Linked DNA regions of Mus musculus: regions 1 and 3 are each reported to be linked to region 2. The links are microRNA targets in miRTarBase. Many come from high-throughput screens and were not tested one by one. Region 2 holds a microRNA gene; each other region holds the end of a gene's coding sequence.

Region 1 (4,243 bases), not on the chromosome of region 2:
TCCACTGCTGCACACCAGAAGTCTAGGTAGGTTCCCACTTACAAAGCTAAAGTGAAGGTGTTTACCAGGCTGGCTGCTCAAGGATTTCCATGTCCAAGCCTGGGTAAGTGTCTGGGTCAAATTGTCCTATGGCAAAAGGTCTGCAGGTCCCACTTGGTGGGTAACAGAGCCTCTGGCTCCTTAAGGCAGGTGACCTGCAGTCATTTAGGGGAGCCCCTTCCACTTAGACCAGCGATGCTGTTTAGAGTTCTGCTGCTGATGTCTCTCACTTCTGCCAGCCTGACATGGCTCTCAAGATTGGGCCAATCACCCACAGATGTGGTCACAGTTCTCGATACACTCAGAAGGGGAGGATATTATACAAGGTCATGAGGGGTCGTTCTTAGAATCCTGCATGTGACAGATACACACTTATTAACTAGAACAACCTTTGCCAACAACAACACTTTGCACATAAGCCAACTTTTCCTTGAGGGACAGCACTGTTGAGAACTGTAGTTCTCGTAATTATGAAAGACTTAAAAAGAAGTCTAGTCTCCCAACTTTCCTGATAGCTTTTGAGATAAGCACACCTAATCTTTTTACCAATGATTTCAAGAACCAATGATTTCAAGAACCTTTGTTCAAACACACTCTGATGGACATAACACACGTCTAACCTACAAGCGAAACCATCCATCCGCATTCACTTCTCATGCTTTTCAAACGTACCTCTTGAGGATCCCGAAGCAATGCATGCTGGGAAGAAGGATGACACTAACATGTAGCCGGGTAATCTTGACTGTCCCACCAAAACACACACCTTCACCTGCACTACGATGAATCCATAGGTCTATTTTTAACCACAGCAGCAGGATACATTACTACTCCTTTCTAGAATGCTCATGTTTACACATCCAGCAGAACCTCCCACCGTGATGTCGATGTCCCATATTCCTAGGATCCAATATGGTGGCTGCTGGCCATGTGGCCACTGAGCACTCCAAAGGCTGCCAACTCAACTTTTCATTTCAACAGATGTGTTTTGTGGCTTCTGTAGAGGCCAGCACTGCTCTAGAGTCTGGGCTATGTGAAATACCCACCGATACCAACTATGACCTATTTCACAGATATAATTAGTACTGCATTTGACACTTTTCCTATTCACTATGTGGGTGAAAGTCGGTTGGTGGCCTCCAAGGGATAATGTGGATGAACACTTTACAGTTCTAAGCACTCTGTCTTCACCTCCCCCGTCTTCATCCTCATCAACCTCCAGGGCTCCCACAAAATCTATTGGAAACATCTGTTTCCAATAGTCTAGTGCTGAACTGGGCACAAGAGGAGGAAGCAACTGGCACTGAGGGAGCAGGAGAGCGCCTGATGTGATGGAAGACAGGAGAGCTGGCCTCCAGAGCCTGGAGTGTATTGGAGAACACACACCACACACAATGAAGACTAGACACGGAGTGTGTGTGTGCCCGTGCACGGCAGGATAGTAGGCAGACATCGCTAGGAGAGAGATGTGAGCAACCTGGCTAGTTAATCCAGATGCCAACCGAGCCTGCCAAGGCTCAGGCGTGTTCCAGGCACCAGGAACTAGCTCATGGGGAAAGGGGGAATTCCTTGAATGAAGGAAAGGACTTGGCTAAAAGAGTCCTTAGAGGCAAGACTGATGAGTAGAGCCTTGTAAGTGGATATGCTCAAAGACCCACGCAGGAGACATTCACACGGTCCAGTGGAGTTTCAAGGCTTGGCCTTCTGAACTCACAACCACTGAGAAAGCAGAGACCTAACGGGGCCCCTGTGCCCATCTGCATGGTTTCACAGTCTGTTATCCTGCTGCTGCACACTTGAGTGTGGGAAGATAGTGGGATTTATTTGTGGGCACAGGGCATAGGAAAAGTGCCAAATGCAGTACTAATTATTAAAAAGCTGAAGGAAATGAGAGGGGAAACTTAACACCAAGAAAAGCTTCAGCTGGGCTTTGACATGCACAGTAGTGTTTATCTACATTTTCCCAGGCAGAACATACAAAATGGCTTCCACTCAGTTCTGTGTGTCCCATACACTGGGCAACTAAGAAAGCCCCCGACGGAGGCTACCAGCCGGGACCTCCCACAGCCCTAGGCCTCCACCACACCTGCTGTACACGCAGTTTCTGGAGAGCCAGAGAAGACTGGCAACTGTTGCTCGGCCTTCCTAATCATAAGAGTAAAGCACTTCTGCCAACTAGCGCTACTTGGGACTGCAAAGTGAGGATGCACAAACACTCTGTGGACACAGCATTTACCTCCACGTTCATGACACAGCGGAGCAAATCATGCTATGGAAACAGAAGTGCTACGGTCGTCTTTCTCCGAGTCCCATACCCAACAGGACACACCCAACAGCATTACTCAGAAAACAGTATCTGAACTCCAAAACCTACCACAGATCTAGAAAAGGACCAACCAGGGAGAAAAGAGACAGTTTGTCTAACTACTGATTAAAGACAGAGCAAAAGGGAAGGGAGTCTCATCACCCACATGAAAGGAACTATGAACGGGAAAAGGAGTCTGTGGAGACACGGCAGGGGCTTCCCACCTGGACAATGACAGTCACACTGGTTTTCTGTGGCTACACACCATACACAGTACAGTAATATAACCCTCGAGAGAACATTGGTCTTTTAAAATCTTGATTTTTAGGAATGACAAATGCCTCTGAAAATATTTTGTTCAGAATTGCTGTGATTATAAAAGTACTTCGAGTTAAGAAACCCATCTAGAACCAATCTGGAATGGCAGTGCACTGGAAAAAATGGCGTTGATCTATAATGTCGGCATCTCCAAATAAAAATATAGAAAGAACTTAAAAAAAGCCGGGGAACCGCTTCTTCAAAAAAAGGTGTTGATTCAAAACTTTACTGCACAAAAATATGTACTTCTTAAGTGCTTCTAATAAATTAACTTCATAACATCTTCATGTGTATTTATATATTTATATATATATATATATATATATGTATATATATATATGTAATATCCCTGATCGTCTATAAAAGAGGGTCTATAATAGTAAAATAAGTGAAGTTCAAAAGTACCCCCTTCACAAAATGTATTTAACATCAGTTTTCTCAAATTTTAAGGAATGTAACAATATGTACAACTCTTGTGTATTAGTATAATACCAAAATAGTCTCAGTCATGTTAACAGGCTGTCAGGATTGTAAAACGTTTGTGTCAAGTTCAAATTGGAGGACAGCTTAGCTTCAAATGAATGCAGTTATCCATGGGAAGAGTCCCTGTCCGCGTGGAGGCAACAATCATCTCATCTACAGTGGCTTCAAGAGAGGTAGTGTTCAAGTCCAAACAGAAGAGGACGCGCTAATTATCTTTAATCAAGAGTCATAAGAAAGGACGTGTTGGTTTCTAAGCAGATCAACTGGTGACTTTTTTAATATGAATCTGAAATACAAAAAAATATAAGATATGATAAAGCAGTTAATTCACAATTCCAAGAAGTCTTCATTTGCAAAATCAAAAAACGAAGCAGCTAGGCGGCTTTGCTGGCTGAATGTACTCTTACCTCATTAAGAATGGCCCAAACAGCTGAGTTCTGAATAACGGAAAGTCGAAAGGCTGAAATAGGGTTTAGACCAGGATCCACAATTCCCTCTGCAACACCATACTCAAATTTTCCTTCAAGACAGAAAATATTTTTGTTGTGTAAGAACTGTTGGAGGGTCATGCATGAAGTGCCACCAAAGTCAAAGTATTTGGTAGACGGGAAATCCATGCGTGTCTTTTAATCTGTTTTTACTCAGCTTTCAAAGTTCCATGAGCTGATGTACTCTGAAAGACCTTAGACGCAACCTGTCCAAAGCAGGAGCACACTTCTGCCCACTGTAAACTCAAAGCATGGTGACATCAACAGTATAAAACTGTTGCAGATGTCCGCAAACTGGCACTCTACTCAAACCTGATCAAAATCCATTTTCTAAGAGCGCTCAGCCTGCCTCCTGGAAGCTCAGCTGGTCATAAAGAGCCTCCCCGTTTCAGACATCAGGGATCAGCCTGGGCAGGGGCTCTGCCCATGTGTATCTTTCCAAGGCTCCATTGAGAAAAATTTCGATGTGTTGCCTGTTCCAGACAATTCCCATAGACTACTCCAATAAAAATGAGAAGCTAAGTCATGTGCCAGGTCATTGTTATCCAGAATATGTACAGAAAACAAACAATCACCCCCCGAAAAAAAAATCAAATAACCCAATTAATGAAGG
Region 2 (4,243 bases):
CATGATCTAGAGACAGTTGTACTCCACAGGAGCATGATCTAGAGACAGTTGTACTCCACAAGAGCATGATCTAGAGACAGTTGTACTCCACAAGAGCATGATCTAGAGACAGTAGTACTCCACAGGAGCATGATCTAGAGACAGTTGTACTCCTCTTCACTATGGCCTCAGATCTGCATCAGACCCCCTCCTCTCTAACCAGAACCTTCACCTGCCCCCAAATCTGTCTCACATTAGAAAGAGCTCTCCTACTCCCAAAAGCTACCCTTGGTCTATTTTTCCAAGTTTTCAATATGGAGACATGTCCAGTCAACAACAGTATCCATATCCCAGCATTCTACATTCCTTCCATCTCTCAGGTTCCTCTGATTTTTCTTTGGACACACAGAAAATTCTGGATAGTCCTGGACACTCCTGAATAAATGGTCCCTTTCTTTGTTTGGGGGGGCCTCTGATATAAAACTTAGTGGGAACAAAATGAACCATTGTAGTTGAGGAAAAAAAAAAAAAAAAAAAAAGCCTTGAACTCCCAGATTGTGGGAATGGCCAATTTATCCTTTAATTGAATAAACAAACAAAAAGGAATTCTCACATAGCTATAATACTCCTATCTAATATACTTAAGAGACTGTGTGCCCAGCAGTTGGGAGCATCTGGTGTGATTAGTGTTAATCACATCTTTTTGAAATTCATGTCCTCAGATCCTTATGTCTGCTCCATACAGCTACATGTGTATGGTGTTCTCTAATGTCCCAGGAAGAGTCTGGCCCTGACTATGTCTATGTCTTCCCCTGAATGGCTAGCTCCACTCTTCCTATCTTCACTAGCCATGAGCAATGTGTGTGTGTGTGTGTGTGTGTGTGTGTGTGTGTGTGTGTGTGTTTTGTTTGAAGGGATCATATCTTCTATAACACCTATCTCAAAAAAGAACCATTCCTTCCCAATGAGCTCCGACCTCTCTGGGAGATAAAGAGAATGTCTCACCCTAGGAGATGAGAATGTCCCACCTTCAGAGATGACAAGAATGACTCAATCTGAGAGCCTAAGAAATTTACTATCTTACAGGTGAGTAGTTGGAACCCAGGTTGAGAGGCAGGAACACATCCAGGCTTCAGAGTCCTGACAGTGAGAATCCCAGATAGGTCACATGTACTTGACCCCACAAAAGCTTCAGACTCCCTGTGACTTATTTACTTCCCTCAGTTCCTTGCCATCTTTGACTCCCCTCATCTCTGGAGTTTCCTCAACAAATAACCTAACTCAGACAGGTTCCCAGGGTCACTTCCTCAAGATGACTTTCCCCACCACTTATGCCCATAAAACACTCACCCCGTCGTCTAGCAGCCTTCTCCTGAAGAGAAACTGTCATCTGTGTAAATTCATCATGCAGGTAGCTCCTCTCATCATAGTCTGAAGGTAGATGAGACACCATGGCACAAACCTGGTTCCATGGTGTTCTCTATGTCCCACTCATGGCTGAATATCTCCAAGCCCTGTGATCATCCCAGATTCTATAGCCCCAGTCTATTGTTCTATGTGCCCCACCTAGAGCTCTCTCTCTCTCTCTCTCTCTCTCTCTCTGTGTGTGTGTGTGTGTGTGTGTGTGTGTGTGTGTGTGTTTCCCTAACCCTAACCTAAACCTTCAATCTTGGTATCTCTCCATCCATCTAATCTCTCTCTCTCTAGGCCTGTTACCTGGTACCCTGGATCTGCTTCCTCATCTACATCTTTACTCCAACCCCATTGGTCTCTGTCCCACCTATCTCTAGATCACTGTCTCTCTATTCTTCCTGAAACTACTCTCTGTATCTATACCTATGTCCCTCACTTTGGGACTCTGTTCCTGTCTTATCTCTATGTACCTTACTCTCTGTGTGTCTCTCATCTCTCTGGATTGATTCCTAGCTCTCTGTCCCTCTCTCCAGGTCTCTAATCTCCCCACTCATCTGTGTTCCCAATCCATATCCTCTCTCTGAGCAATGCTTCTACTTTTCCATCTCTTTCCCTTACTGTCTTTAGACTCTCTCTGAGGCACTGTTTTGTCTGTCTCCACCCCACTCTGGACCTGTTTCCTTCCATTGTTTCCACCTGTCTCTCTTCTCTGTGTCTATGTCATGATCCTGTACTTGGCTTTTCTTCTTGGAGTAGCTCAAGGAATCTCCTTCCCCTCCCCAGGGCCCTGGTTCAGGAAGGAGGGGCTCCTCACTGATTTTCATGTCTTTGAGATCTTCAAAAGCCCCTTCAAGCTCATTTCTGCACAGGTTTATCTTGGTTTCCTCTCTGCCCACAAACAGCTGGCAGACACGGAGGCGTTCCTCATAGGTAGTGAAGCAGAAGAGACAGGCCCACGTGGATGCCCTGAAGATCAGCAGGAACAACAGGACAATGCTCCCTACTAAGGAAATAAGACCCATAACAGAGGGTCTCCGGGTCTGAGGAGAAGATAGTGACCTTTGTGAGGTCATTGTGGGGGAGGGGGAGCCTGTGATCAGAGATTGAGTTTCAAATGATGGTCAAGCATCAGGCTCCAGCTAGAGGAAGGTTGCCAGGGGTCACCTGAAATCCCTAAATTTGTGGCTGGGCCAGGCGCCAGGCTCCCAAGAACCTCACCTGTGACCCTGGACGTCCTCACAGGTTAAAGGGTCTCAGGGACCCAGAGGCCGGCAGTGTAGCTATGGTGGACCAGAAAAACCCTTTTCCCCAGAGGTGGGAACGGGGAAGCGAGACAGAAACAGATACCCTAAGCCCCAGAAGATAGAAAGGAACCAGGAGATGCCTCAAAAAGCTCAGAAACCCAGTGTCACAGAGATACATTCACAGCACTAGAGAAACAGAAGCTTCTAGAACCCTAGAGACATTGGCATAAGAGACAGAGACAGAAAATTCGAAAATCTCAAGATGGCATAGAGACTGCAAAGAAAAGGGATAGGATAGAATGTGAACAGAGAAGACACCCCAGCTCCTATCAAGAACTCTTGGGCAATGGTGTGGACCTGGGGTCCCCGCCGGCCCCTTCCAGTGCAGGGCGCAGCCTGGGGAAAGCTAGGAGGCCGTATAGTGATCTCCTCGGGTGTCTTCCTCAACTATACAACCTCCTACCTCAGCCCGGGGGGCGCGGCAGGTGGGCAGATTGACAGATGGATTGATGGGAGACCAGAAGTAGGGAGGGTGGGGAGGGCCGGGGAGGTCCCAGCCGCGATGGTGAGCCCCCGACACGGACCCACAGACACGAGCTTGTGTGCGGCGAAGGCCCCGCAAGGTCGGTTCTACGGGTGGGTGCCAGGACCCAGGAGTCCGGGCCCCCGGCCCCCTCCTCCCCAAGGAACCCAGGAATTCAGTCCCAGCCCCAAAATCTAAGCCCCAGCCCCCCTCTTTCAAGGCCAGAGATCCAGACCTCAGCCCTCCTCCCTCAGTCCCAAAGCTTCCTCCCTTAGACTAAGGGGTAGTGGTCACAGCCCTCCCTCCCACAGATCCAGGGAAGCAGACCCTGCCGCCTTGCACTCAATTCTCCTCAGTCCAGACCCAGGGACTCAGTCCCTAACCCTCACAGTTCTCCTCCACCCCATAGCCCTCCCCGGCAGACTCAGGGTCCAACCAGGCACATCCCTTAGAGAAGACAATCTGGTTAGAGACCTGACTTCTGCACTGCAGAAAGGATGTATCCCCGTTTGTCTTGGCAATCTGAGCCCCTTCTGTAACCCCTAAAGGTTTCATATCCCAGGCCTGAGTTAAAGGCCTTCTGAGTATCAGAAGTCCTCATGGGTCTCATGGAATAATCCTATCTTTTCCAAAACCATTCTCAACCTTTGGGGTGATAGCTATGGTCAAGGAATAATGACACCAACCAGGACCCTGTCTCCTCAACACCTCCCAACTCAGAAATGAGGTCGCTCCCAGCACACAGGAGCCCCCAGAGGGGAAGCCACTAGACCAAAGTCAGTTGTCGGCAGGTGGGAGGAGCCCTAGGACCTGCACCCACCCTGAGGCTCTGAGCACAGAACTGGTCTTCTGGGGCTCCCAGGTTCCATGTCCGTCTTCTTGTTTCTTTCTCTCCACCCATTTTTTCTTACCTTGCTCTTTTCTTATTCTCCCTTTCTTTCTCTGTTTGTATCATCCCTGATGAGGTTTTCCTCTTCGCCCATATCTGAATGCCTGCTCCTCCCGCTGTCTCTGTTCTAGCTGACCCTCTTTACATTCACCTCTCTTCCTCACCTCCTATCTTCTATATCTACTTCTCAAGTCT
Region 3 (4,243 bases), not on the chromosome of region 2:
GCCATGACTCAAACAAAACAAAGCAGAGAGAAGTGTGTGGGCCCTTGCTTGTTGCTTATGCTCAATTAGCTTTCTTCATTCTTAAACAGATGAAGGCTCTCTGCCTAGGGAATGGTAACAGCCACGGTGGGCGTGGTGTTCTTACATCAATTAAGATGGTCTTCCACAGACATGCTCACAGGTCAACCTGATTTATATAAGTCTAGTCCTCAGTTAGAACTGTTCCCAGGTAATGGTTCTCTTGTGTCTGGTTAACAGCTAAAACTAACCATGTGTTTGTAGCCCAAGCTGGTCTAGAACTGTGATTTTCTTGCCTCAGTTTCCCAAGTGGTAATGTTAGAGCTGTGCCCCAATATACCTAGGTCTATTAAAGTTGGGTTCTATTCTTTTAAAATGTACTGAAGTTGGATGGGGAAGAAAATTTGAAAATTTGGAAGATGTTAGTTTTGTTAACTACATGGTATCTTCTGGAGTAGTAACACTGAGTCTTCCTTGTTTTTCAGCTTGCAGTTTGACCCAGCACCTCGTAGAGGCGAGCCACATGTCACTCGTCGTACCCCAGACTACTTCCTGTAATGAAAATGTAAACTTGTACAGTATTGCCATGAACCGTATATTGACCTAATGGAAATGGGAAGAGCAACAGTAACTCCAAAGTGTCAGAAAATAGTTAACATTCAAAAACTTGTTTTCACACGGACCAAAAGATGTGCCATATAAAATACAAAGCCTCTTGTCATCAACAGCCGTGACCACTTTAGAATGAACCAGTTCATTGCATGCTGACGCGACATTGTTGGTCAAGAATCCAGTTTCTGGCATAGCGCTATTTGTAGTTACTTTTGCTTTCTTGAGAGACTGCAGATATAGGATTAAACATTAACACCCGTGAGTCCAGTTGACTTCACTTAGCTGTAGCTTACTCAGCATGACTGTAGATGAGGATAGCAAACAATCATTGGAGCTTAATGAACATTTTTAAATAAGTACCAAGGCCTCCCCTCTTGTTGTGTTTCTTTCAGGGATACCATTAATTTAATTGTATGATTTGTCTGCACTCAGTTTCTCCCCTTCTCAAATCTCAGCCCCGCGTTGTTCTTTGTTACTGTCAGAAAACCTGGTGAGTTGTTTTGAACAGAACTGTTTCCCTCCTGTAAGATGATGTTACTGCACAAGTCACCGCAGTGTTTTCATAATAAACTTGAGAACTGAGAAAGTCAGGTTTGAATTGTATCAGTGGGCACGACTGGTGCTGTTTATTAACAAGATAAATCTATTGATCAATTTCAGAATTTGTAGAATCCCAGGTAAAGAAAAATAAAGATCAAGGCCACTGTGTAACCTCTCTGGCAACTCCTTGGTGTTCTTCAGAAGAACTTGGGGACCTGTTTGTCTGACATACCGCAGTTTGTCTTGTTGCTGGCCTGCGCTTGTGAAAGGAAATCTGTGCTGTTTTAGTGGGACTTGGTTGTTAAACCATAGAACTTGAGAGTTATGTTTTTAGGATTTTACTTAAAATGGCATGTTTTCAGGTAGAACTTAACAAACTAAATGATGTGTCTAATTAGTGTAGTTTCTGGTTACAAATATATTGCTATGTATATTTCATGGACTCTTTAAAATGATTGACAGAACGGTAAGTTCTTAACCAACATTTGTATATTTCTTGTCAAGTCATGTGATCTTAGAGTTAGTTAAACTTGTCTGGATAAGGTGTTAGAACCTTAGCTTGTGTTCCTTACCTGGTAAAGCAGTGAAGCCGAGTAGAAGCAATGCTGATGTGGGCTGATGTTTGCGCCAGGTCCGAGAATGGTGCCTGAGTGCCAAGCTCAGCGAGTAATGGGTTTCCCTTCTATTCTTTGACTTGGCTTAAAACCGAAGACAGTTCTTCTTGTGGGGACTGAATATTTGCTATTTTAAGCTATCTGGGCAAACATGAGGATGCTTGATCATTACTGTGTGAGTGTAGTAAATAAATGTTTCCTTGCTTTGTACTGTGTTGAATTTGGAACCAACAGTGAAGTTACAGTATTGCCCTGTATAAAAAAAAAAAAAAAAAAAAAAAAAACAAGCCAGTTTGTGAGTTAATTTTCTAAATCAAAAAAAACCCTAGGCCAGGTACTGGTGGCGCACACCTTTAATCCCAGCACTTGGGAGGCAGAGGCAGGCGCATTTCTGAGTTTGAGGCCAGCCTGGTCTACAGAGTGAGTTCCAGGACAGCCAGGGCTACACAGAGAAACCCTGTCTCAAAAAACCTTAGTTTTTCTAGGTGTCTTCTTTTTATTCTGAGTTCGAAGAAACACATTCTCCAGCCTGTTATTTGTGCTACTTCGTCTTTTCTTCCTGGCCAAACAAGTAACATCTATATACAGCACTGTTTTGTTTTGTTAGGGTGGGTTGTGGTAAGGGCAGGGCAACAGAGTCTTTCTGTTGCCCTGAGTGGCTGGGATCTTGCTATATAGGCCAAGCTGTCCTAGAACTCATGGATGATACTGCCTATATATGCCACCATGCCTGACTTAATGTACAGCACTTCTGATCCAACACTTGAGGGAGGTAGACACCAAGCAGCTGCACTGGGGATCCTGACGATAAAGAGGGCTCTAATGGAGTCTTTCCTATAGTTGACACATGTCATGTACATACAGATTCTCAGAATGGGGCTTGTGTCAAAGAGTGAGTGGTCTTAAAAGCATTCAGAGGCAATTACTAGGCTTCTCTTGAAATTTGAAAATGTTAATACTTTAACCTGATGTAAAATTAGTGAAAATGTGTGAGTTTAATAATTTCTTCAAAAAAATCAAATGATAGTTGGAAGGGAATCACTCAAATGAGAGAATTTTAATGGGCACTATAATGAGATTGCCATAATTTTTTAAGTCTTTTGATTAAGAGCAAAGAATTATCAAAAATGGGTGTTGTCAAGAAGTCTGGACAGGTGCTTAGCAGTCAATCTTGTAGCCCCCAGCTGCCTATAACTTCGACTCCAGAGGCCCTGATACTCTCTTCTGGTCTCCACGGCATCAGACACACATGTGGTGTACATGCCTGCAGGCAAACCACTCAAACAAAAAATAAAGATCAGTCTTTTTAAAAGACGTGTTAATGGCTACAAATGTAGTTCATTGGTAGAGCACTTGCCTAGCACATGTACTGTGCCCTGGGTTCCATCTCTAAAAGTTGTATATAATGACACATGTGTCACCCAGCATTGTGGAGGCAGATAGTGGATCTCGGTGCCTAAGAGTGAGTATTCAACAGGGAAGTGTACTTTGGATATGGTAAGGTGACTCAGCTGGTAAAGGCATAGTCACTTAGCAGCCACCCTGAAGACTCAAGCTCAGTCCATGGGATCTACGTGGTGGAAGGAGAAAACCAACTCCTGCAAGTTGTCCTCTGGCCTCCATGCACAAATGGTGATGTATGCACACACACAGATGTTTCAAAAAAGATAATTTAGGGGCTGGCGAGTGGAGCCAGAGTTAAGAACACACACTGCTCTTCAAGAGGACCCACATCCACCTCTGGTCTCCTTGGACATCAGTATTCATGTGCACATAAATTATTATTTTTTTATTAAAAGGTTGCTTTGAAACAATTTATAAAGCTTACTGTTGGGTTTGAGTACTTGAAGAAGATATGTATAATGGTTTTAGTAAAACAAAAACAATGTACTATCTAAGGTTTCCAGGTGATGTTTTGAGATTTGTACATTGTGTCAAGTCGGGCTATGTATGCCTCAAGCATTTATCATAATGGTCCTTGTAGCTATTTGAAATGAAACAAAAGTGTGGTGGTGTGGTTGCCACCTGCCTGTGTAATGGCACATCTGAGCCTCTTGAAATGTTCAGTGACCATTGGGAGACGGTTTGCCTTTCTTCATTACAAATGCACAGTGTCTCCCTTTCTTGACTTACTGTTTTGTTTATGTGTGTGGTGCTAACAGAGGCCTCTAGGTCCTCTGGAGCTTCAGAGTTGTGAGCTGCTGGTGTGAGTGCTTAAAGACCAAATCCAACCTCTGGAAGAGCCGCAGTTAATTCTGTGGTATTCAATCTTGATGCCCACATATTTTACTTTGAATTATTAGGAGCATAGTATGTCTAGGGTTAAGAACACTGCTGGGTGGGGCATGGTGACTCACATCTATGATATCAGCACTTGGGAGGCAGAGGCAGGTAAATGGATCTCTGAGTTCCAGGCCAATCCAGGATACATGGTGAAGCAGTCTTTTATCTTTTTGAGA

The links. Region 2 holds the annotated microRNA mmu-miR-125a-5p (UCCCUGAGACCCUUUAACCUGUGA, at 2,629-2,652, opposite strand). A microRNA usually pairs through its seed, bases 2 to 8, with sites in the 3' UTR of a target mRNA and lowers its output. Matches are read on the target gene's strand: a 7mer-m8 pairs with bases 2 to 8, a 7mer-A1 pairs with bases 2 to 7 and ends in A, and an 8mer does both.
Region 1: the mRNA of Mgat4a is a reported target of mmu-miR-125a-5p. Seed matches in the 3' UTR shown: 7mer-A1 at 3,006-3,012.
Region 3: the mRNA of Ppp2ca is a reported target of mmu-miR-125a-5p. Seed matches in the 3' UTR shown: 7mer-A1 at 1,019-1,025.

Annotation. Positions count from the first base shown.
Region 1 is chr1:37,441,258-37,445,500 of GRCm38, forward strand. It overlaps Mgat4a (mannoside acetylglucosaminyltransferase 4, isoenzyme A), which reads right to left. Exons shown (of 16, transcript NM_173870.3): 15 at 3,550-3,662; 16 at 1-3,428. The coding sequence ends at 3,402. Among named protein-coding and RNA genes, the nearest start is that of Unc50, 13 kb to the left of the region's middle.
Region 2 is chr17:17,829,226-17,833,468 of GRCm38, reverse strand. Mir125a (microRNA 125a) reads right to left here and starts at 2,657; the gene lies at 2,590-2,657. It overlaps Spaca6 (sperm acrosome associated 6), which reads right to left and starts at 2,494. Exons shown (of 9, transcript NM_001162909.1): 1 at 2,207-2,494; 2 at 1,330-1,410. The coding sequence starts at 2,465. Mir99b (microRNA 99b) reads right to left here and starts at 3,281; the gene lies at 3,212-3,281. It overlaps Mirlet7e (microRNA let7e), which reads right to left and starts at 3,117; the gene lies at 3,025-3,117.
Region 3 is chr11:52,121,399-52,125,641 of GRCm38, forward strand. It overlaps Ppp2ca (protein phosphatase 2 (formerly 2A), catalytic subunit, alpha isoform), which reads left to right. Exons shown (of 7, transcript NM_019411.4): 7 at 504-1,351. The coding sequence ends at 576. Among named protein-coding and RNA genes, the nearest start is that of Mir3061, 3.2 kb to the right of the region's middle.